2 linked regions of the Sus scrofa genome follow. The protein of the gene in region 1 interacts with the protein of each later gene in a pairwise test. Links are inferred from orthologs where the notes say so. Each region holds a gene or a part of one and is shown on either strand. Other genes may lie near its edges.

Region 1 (3,648 bases):
GACTCCTTTTAACTTCCTGCAGGCCCTGGCTGTTTGAGTGCATGTGACCCAGGAGGTAACTTGGCTTTTGAGTCATTGTATAAATTCTCCAGTTTTTAACCCACCCACATCACCAATTTACTAGTCAGAGCAGTGGTTTTAGGGGCGCCAAATATAATGATTTTTCTACAGAAATATTTTCGTATACTCTTAGTTACATGTTTTCTTTATCTTTTATATACTAAAGGTTGTGGAAAAACCTTTGTTTCTCTTCTTATATGTGAACATCATCTTAAGAAATTTCCACGAGGACGAAAGGGGAAGGTTGTCTTTTTTGCTATTCAACTCCCAGTGTATGAGCAGCAGAAATCTGTGTTCTCAAAACATTTTGAAAGACTTGGGTACGTATAGCAGTTGGTCCAACTTCTTTTTCTCTAGCTTCATGTAACCAATGTGTTTTCTGCTTTGTTTTGCTTTTGGAAAACCATGATCCAAAAAATTTACGGTAGATTCAGCTAGATATTAATTCCTTCATAGATCCAAGTCTTTTTTGTTAGATATAGCTGAAATGCTAACCTCCTGTGATTAGCTTTGGCAGTGTGAGTAAATGACTTGAGATAAATTTTACAGCTAAATGCCACATTTAACTTTTCAATGATTTTGAGTGAATCAGTATTTTATATTAGTCTTGCCTTTATTTTCTTTTTCAATTCCTTGAAAAAACTACTTTCGGCTCTCTCTATCTGCAGGTGCCACATGGAATGTTTTTTAGCAGTTCTTCCTGGCTTACATTTGTTGATCACTTACTGTGTGCAGGGCTTTGTGCTAAGCTCTTAACTTTTCTCCAGATCTGTTCCTTTTAGACTTAGGGAGAACTAATCAATCGATGTTCTGATCTGGTACATCCTTTGTGTGTGATTCCTCATTCCTATTATGGTTGGTAATAGGAAATTTCTGTCATTTTCCAGGTACAAAGTTGCAGGCATTTCTGGAGCAACGTCTGACACTGTCTGTGTGGAACAGATTGTTGAGAACAACGACATCATCATCTTAACACCACAGATTCTTGTGAACTGTCTTACCAATGGGACAATTCCATCACTCTCTGTGTTTACTTTGATGATATTTGATGAATGCCACAACACCAGCAAACAGCATCCTTATAATGTCATCATGTTTAATTATCTAGATCGGAAACTTGGAGGATCTTCAGACTCACTGCCCCAGGTATCTCCCAAGTCAGATGGATTTCTGAGAAGAGCTCGAACTTGTCTAGATCTTTTTTGTTTTTTTAGGCTGCACCTGAGGCATATGGAGGCACCCAGGCTGGGGGTCGAATCGGAGCTGCAGCTGCTGGTCTACAGCACAGCCACAGCAACACCAGATCTGAGCTGCCTCCAAGACCCATACCACAGCTCACTGCAAGGCTGGATCCTTAACCCACTGCTGGAGGGCAGGGATTGAACCCGCATCTTCATGGATACTAGTCAGGTTCATTACTTCTGAGCCACAATGAGAACTCCCTAACTTTCCTAGATCCCATTTGCATACCCTGTGGCCGTATCGAGGATGTCCTTCTGAGATCCTAAATGCCTTTCGTATGGCTCCTTAATTAATATCGATTCATTTATTCACTTCACAAATAGGTATTAGGTGCCTCTCTGTGTCATGCACTATGCTAGGCATTGGGGGTACAAATATAAAAAGACATGGTCCTTTCCCTCACACAACTTAAGTTTTGTGGGGAGCCACATGCTTAAGAATTACGATTTATGGTGATGGCACACTATGGATGTACAGAACAGAAAGATGCTGTGAAAGTAAGGCAAGACCTAACAGAAGTTGGGTGAGGCAAAAACTAATGGGAGTTTACGAGGCAGATAGCTGGATGGTTTTCAGTAAAGGCTTCTGTGTGTCCAGAGGCACAGATGTGTGAAAAAGTAAGGTGTGCTCAAGAGTCTTGAACTTCTTCAGCATCACCTGAGACCAGTCGGTGAGGCAGGAGGGGGAGAGGGAATGATTGACAGAACAAGATACCAGGAGACTAGAGGGCATGGGATAAGTGTGCAAGCAGAAATAAGTAAAGATGGGGCAGATGAAAAACCATTCTTGGAGTTCCCGTTGTGGCTCAGCAGTAACGAATCCAACTAGTATCCATGAGGATGCGGTTCAATCCCTGGCCTTGCTCAGTGGGTTAAGGATCTGGTGTTGCTGAGGCTGTGGTGTGGGCCTCAGGTGCAGCTCCGATTTGACCCCTAGCCTGGAAATTTCCATGTGCTGACAGTGCGGCCATAAAAAGAAAAAAAAAAAACAATAAAAAGCCCTATTGTGCAGAAAAGAGTTCCAGGAGCGGAATATCATGCTATTTCCCAGACATCTAATGGTTCGGGATGCTCCTCACAGGTCATTGGACTGACTGCCTCGGTTGGCGTTGGGGATGCAAAAAACAAGGCTGAAGCCACAGAATACATCTGCAAATTGTGTGCTTCTCTTGACACTTCGGTCATAGCAACAGTCAGAGACAACTTGGAAGAACTAGAGGAAGTTGTGTATAAGCCCCAGAAGTGTAAGTGGGATCCAGTAACAAGCCCTTCCAGATTTTGTTACCCTTTGCTCATCTTGGTTCAGGGCCATTTAGATGAACCCTGTGTTTTTACCCTTTGTCTGTTGTATAGGAAATATTTAACCCCAAGCTTAGGAAGGAATCACATTTCCCGTTCTCTTCCCACCTGAGCTCAGAAGTGGCCTGTAGAGAGCAGACACGCTTATTCTTCATTTTCCTAACACTCTTGTGAAGGCACTGGCAGTAAGGGAGAGCTGCTGGGAAGATCTGAGCATACAGATGGCTCGGTCTTTCTCAGGTGCCAGGCCTGGGAAGGACACTGAGTGCTTGGCCAATCTTTGAATATGTATCTGGGAATTTTGGTTGATGTGAAATTATTTGAACTCATCTTTCCTCAAAAGATCAGAATATGATTTTATGACTACAATTGACTAACACATGTTTATTGAGTACAATGCTGTACTAGCCCAGCAGGCGAAAGGGATACAGAAGATGCCTGTAACTCTTGTTGCCTTGCTCTCTGAACGGCATAGGGCTGGATTGGATAAAAGGCAGAACAAATACACATGAAAGAGTCCAGGAGCTTCATGGAAGGAGTTTAGAGAAAGTACTCAATCTGAACCTCTTAATATCACATACACATTTTGTTTCGTTTTGTTTTCTGTCCCCGCCCCGTCCCGACCATGGCATATGGAGTTCCTGAGTCAGGGATTAGATGCGAGCCACAGCTGTGATCCAGCCATAGCAGCTCTGGATCCCTATCCCACTGTGCCAGGCCAGGGATTGAACTTGTATGCCAGGGCTCCAGAGATGCCACCAATCCCTTTGCGCCATGGTGGGAACTCCCACATATCTTTATAATCCTGTCCCTCCCATGCTCTGAGCTTCATCTCCTCCCACCTCCCATAAACCCAAGCACATGGCCTTCCTTCTGCCTCCTCAGGTGGGTCCTTTGTGTTCTCTCTCCAAGTTTTGTCCATCCCAGCCTTTGCCCATGACTGCTCACTCCCCCTTGCCTCTTCCCCTATTTCCTCACAACGCTGCCTCTCCTGGAAGAGTTAGGGCCTCTCCTGTGCCCCGTGACTCCCTGTACATACTGTATCACA
Region 2 (4,369 bases), on another chromosome or scaffold:
CACCACTTACAACAATTTGCCATGATAGACCTCTTTGTTTGCTTATTTCTCATTTGCCTTTCTCATAAGGGAGAGCTGCAGGGAACAAGACAGACAAGATCTCTGCCATCATCCAATTTACATTCTACTGAGGTGGGACAGATAACAAATCAGTAAAATGTAACTCCAGCTAGGAATAAAGGTTATAGAAAAAAATGAAGTGGATGATGAGACAGAGCCCCTGAAGAAGGGTATGCTGCTTGAACTGGGATGGTCAGGGAGACCTTTCTGAATTGATGACATTGAGCCAAACCATTCTTGGCTGCAAGATAGTGCTTTGGGCAGAGGGCATAGCCAGTGAGAAGTCCAAAGGTGGGAAAACACTTGGCATGTTTGAAGATGAGAAAAGTAGATCAGAGCGGTCCAGGTTTAGAAAGCTAGGGGGAGGGGTAGAGATCAAGGTCAAGGAGGTTGTGAAGGGCCACTTATGTAGGCCATTATAGGAAAGGACTTTGAGTTTTATTTGGAGTGAAATGGGGAGCCATTGGAGGGTTTTGAGCAGGAAAAGGAGAAGACTTGATTTATGTTAAAGATCTCTGTGGTGGAGTTCCCATCATGGCTCAGCAGTTAACAACCCCAACTAGCATCCATGAGGATGCAGGTTTGATCCCTGGCCTCACTCAGTGGGTTACGGATCTGGTGTTGCCATGAGCTGTGGTGTAGTTCACAGACGTGGCTCAGATCCTGTGTTGCTGTGGCTCTGGTGTAGGCCAGCAGCTGTAGCTCCGATGGGACCCCTAGCCTGGGAATCCCCGTATGCCGCGAGTGAGGCCCTAAAGAGAAGAAAAAATTTAAAAAAATATATATATATACCTCTGCAGTGATTGTAAGGACCCTGTACTGTGGAGGGGGCAGGATGGAAGCAGGGAGATATGTCAGGAGGCCACAGCAGGGACCCCATGAGGGGTACACCAGGATGGTAACCATGAAGATGGTGAGGGGTGGCCGGATTCCTGGTATTTTGTGGATACAGGAGATGAAGGAGAGAGAAGGATCTGGAATGACACCTTCGGCACTGGGTGGATGGAGGGTGCCACTTAGCAAGCCAGAGAATCTGCGGGAGAAGCAGTGGTGCAGATGGGGCTCCAGGGCTCCATCTGAACAAGTGAAGTTGGAGATGCTATTGGATATCCAAGGGGCTTTTCCGGGAGGGAAGGGGGCAGAGTAGAGGGGGCAGGCTAGAGTAGAAACATGGGTGTCAAGCTTGGGTGGGAGCTCTAGGAGACAGTGCTGCAGAGCAGAGAGTAATGTAAAGCTGCTGAGGCTGCCAGTCCCCCACCACATGTGAAATGGGGCAGCAGTCCTGCCTACCTGCTGCCACCGGCCTCATAGCCACACACTGCGCAACTTGCTTTGCCAACACCAGGTGCAACTTCCCTCGTGAGGCAAGTACAAAAGACAGAGGTCAAGAGGATCAGGGAGGTGGGGCAGGGGTCCCCTGAGCCTTTAGGAAATGAGCAAAGAACACTGTGGGGGCAAATATACCCATTTCCCCTTCCCTCCTGTGGGATACAGAGAGGTATCAGGAGAGAGGCAGGTGAAACATTCTTCTGCATCCCAGTCTCAGCCCCTGAGGCACAGAGTCTGGGGGTATCGGGGTATGAATTGGTTCAACCAAAAAGAAAGGAACCCCATATCTGTTCACATTTATTAAGGGTCCACTACTGGCAGGCACATACTAAATTTCTTTCATTTAATCCTTGCCACAATCCCTTAAGAAATGAAGCCACGTTGCACAGCTGACCAGTGGCCTAACAGGATTTGAACCCAGGACTTGTTGCCTAATTGAAACTCATCATACACGGTGCAGGGCAAAGAAACCCCTGCAGCAAGCGAGACTCACTTGACTCCAGGCCTTCAAACCCCAAGGTCACTGCCTGGCTGGGGATGGGGGTGGGGGAGGTGTAGGACTGACTGAAAGTGGCCTGGGAAAAATGCAGAATTTGGTCCCTGCTCTTGTGGGGAATGGAATCTTTTGGACAGATCTGAGGCCCTTCTAACTCTGCCCACTACAGCAGCCGGGTTCTCAGGTCCTTTCAGAAGTCCTTTCAGGTGTTTTTGAGCCTTCAAACGAAGAATGTTGATTTTTTTCCATTGTTTTCCTGACACCTCCTGGTCTCGGATAAGATGCGCGGCGGAGTGCTCCTGATGGATGCGGCTAGGAGAGTTTCTACCCCGACTGCACCAGAGGCTGTGTGTCCGTTCCAGAAAGAAAATTCCACCCTCCCGGAAGGGGCGCGGCCTCACAGCCTCAGCTCGGATTCCATAATTCCTGGGCCAGACCCAGGACTTCAGAGGGCGGGTGGGCTGTTCTGAGCAGATGTCAGCGCCGAGAACAGTCAGGACCCAGGGGACGGCGGCAGTCCTCGACCCCTCAAGCGCGGCCGCGGCCTCCAGACATTAGCGCACCCGGGCTAGGCCTCGCCTGGGGATCACCCTGGACCTGAGGGCGACTGGAAGGGGCTCAGGAGTCAGCGCCTGTCTCCTTCCGGCCCAACCTCGTCTCCAATCCAAGCAGACGCCGGTGCCACGCACCTCCCAAGCCCTCAGTGATGGTTGCGGCGCGCGGAGCCCTCGCTGCCCCGAACCCCACGAGCCTAAGAATCCGCTCTTCTCGGCCGCCGGGCGCCCCAAGCCTCATGCGGCCCGAAGGACTCCGACTCCCACTCAGCTCCCTCCCTGCGGGCTACCTCCCCGAAAGGCGTCCGTGCCCCAGAGCCCAGAGGACCGAGCTCCAGGGCCGGCGATCTTACCTCGGGGTAGCCACGGCCAGGCAACCTGCCTCCTGTAGCCTATAGCCCGGAACCCTCCCCAGCAGGACAGGAGAGTGGGGGCCGGAGCTGCACGGCCATTGGCCAGACGGCGGGGGCGGGGTTTCGGCTCCAGTGGGAGCCACTGGGCGGCGGGGGGCGGGTACTCGGTGGTGGTTTGGGGGCCTGGACTCGCCGGACGGGCGCTCGGGACTGACCTGGGTTCGTACTTTTTGGAGTGCAAAGGAGCAGATGACCAGATGACCTTCTTTTCTTGTTTGTCTCGAGCAACTTCCAGGGGGAAGTCCAGGGTCTGGTTAGAAACCAAGTCGAAACTGTGGCGGCCTTGGTCCACGACGCTTCCCACACGAAGCTACCATTCCTCACGCTGAGTAATTTGAGGGGTGAGGGTCTTTTGGTCGTTCACCCAGGGCCTATCACATAGTCAGTGCTCAATAAACGTCGGATGTCATGAAAAGTGCCCAGCCAGGCGACACGTTCTGGGCCTGAGGAGGCAAGATCGATCTGGAGTGCGGGGGTGGGGGGATAGGTGTATGAAAGGGCCAGGGCGCCTAGTTTGTCTCACAAGGTTGGGCACGCTGGGGGTGGGCTCTGAGTGCTGCGTGGAAACGCCCTCTCCTTTCAAGAATTCTGGTTGGTACCTCACCGCAGTTTTCCCCAACCGCCTGCTCTGCCGAGGCAGCAAAGGCCAGCAGTTATTGAATGCCCACTGTTTCAGGTACAGACTTAAAGTCTTAGGGCCCATTAAATATTCTCCCAAAAAAAGTAGAGGTTTATTTTTTTTCCTGTTTTTGTTTTTTGTTTGTTTGGTTGGTTGGTTTTTTTTTTTTTTTGGTCTTTTTGCCATTTCTTGGGCCGCTCACGTGACATATGGATTTCCCAGTCTAGGGGTCCAATCGGAGCTGTAGCCGCTGGCCTACACCAGAGCCACAGCAACGCGGGATCTGAGCCACGTCTGCGACCTACACCACAGCTCACGGTAACGCCAGATCCTTAACCCACTGAGCAAGGCCAGGGATCAAACCCGCGACCTCATGGTTCCTAGTCGGATTCGCTAACCACTGCGCCATGATGGGAACTACTTTTTTTTCCTGTTTTAAAGAGAGATTAGGAGTTCTGGCTGTGGCTTAGCCGGTTAAGGATCCAGAGGTGTCTTTGCTGTGGTGGGGGTTGTGGGTGTGGTGGGTTAAGGATCCAGCCTTGTGAGCAGCTGTGGCATAGGTCCGAGCTGCAGGTAGTATTTGATCCCTGACCTTGAAACTTCCATATGCTGCAGGCGCAGTCAAAAAAAAAAAAAGAGAGAGAGAGAGATTAAAAGATTTGGGGAAATGCTTGGCAGTCCTTAAGTTAAACATATGAGTTAAACATATGAAATGCTTGGAAGTCCTTAAATTAAACATATAAACCCTATGAGTCCACTTGGAAACACACACAATAGTGGCTTTATTCACAATATGCAAGTTCTGGAAACAAATGTGCATAAACAGAATGGAGAGATGGACTGTGGTGTATACAGTAGTGAAAAAGAACAGTCAAGGAAAACTACTCATATCCACAAT

The links.
Region 2: the proteins of DDX58 (region 1) and MAVS interact in binary tests that used the Homo sapiens proteins (3 or more experiments, as listed by UniProt). The link is inferred for Sus scrofa from reciprocal best matches to the Homo sapiens genes RIGI and MAVS.

Annotation. Positions count from the first base shown.
Region 1 is NC_010452.4:33,905,159-33,908,806, forward strand, and holds part of DDX58 (probable ATP-dependent RNA helicase DDX58), read left to right. Parts: intron 1-226; coding exon 227-380; intron 381-947; coding exon 948-1,206; intron 1,207-2,382; coding exon 2,383-2,545; intron 2,546-3,648.
Region 2 is NC_010459.5:31,866,360-31,870,728, forward strand, and holds the start of MAVS (mitochondrial antiviral-signaling protein), read right to left. Parts: upstream 2,915-4,369; 5' UTR 2,793-2,914; intron 1-2,792.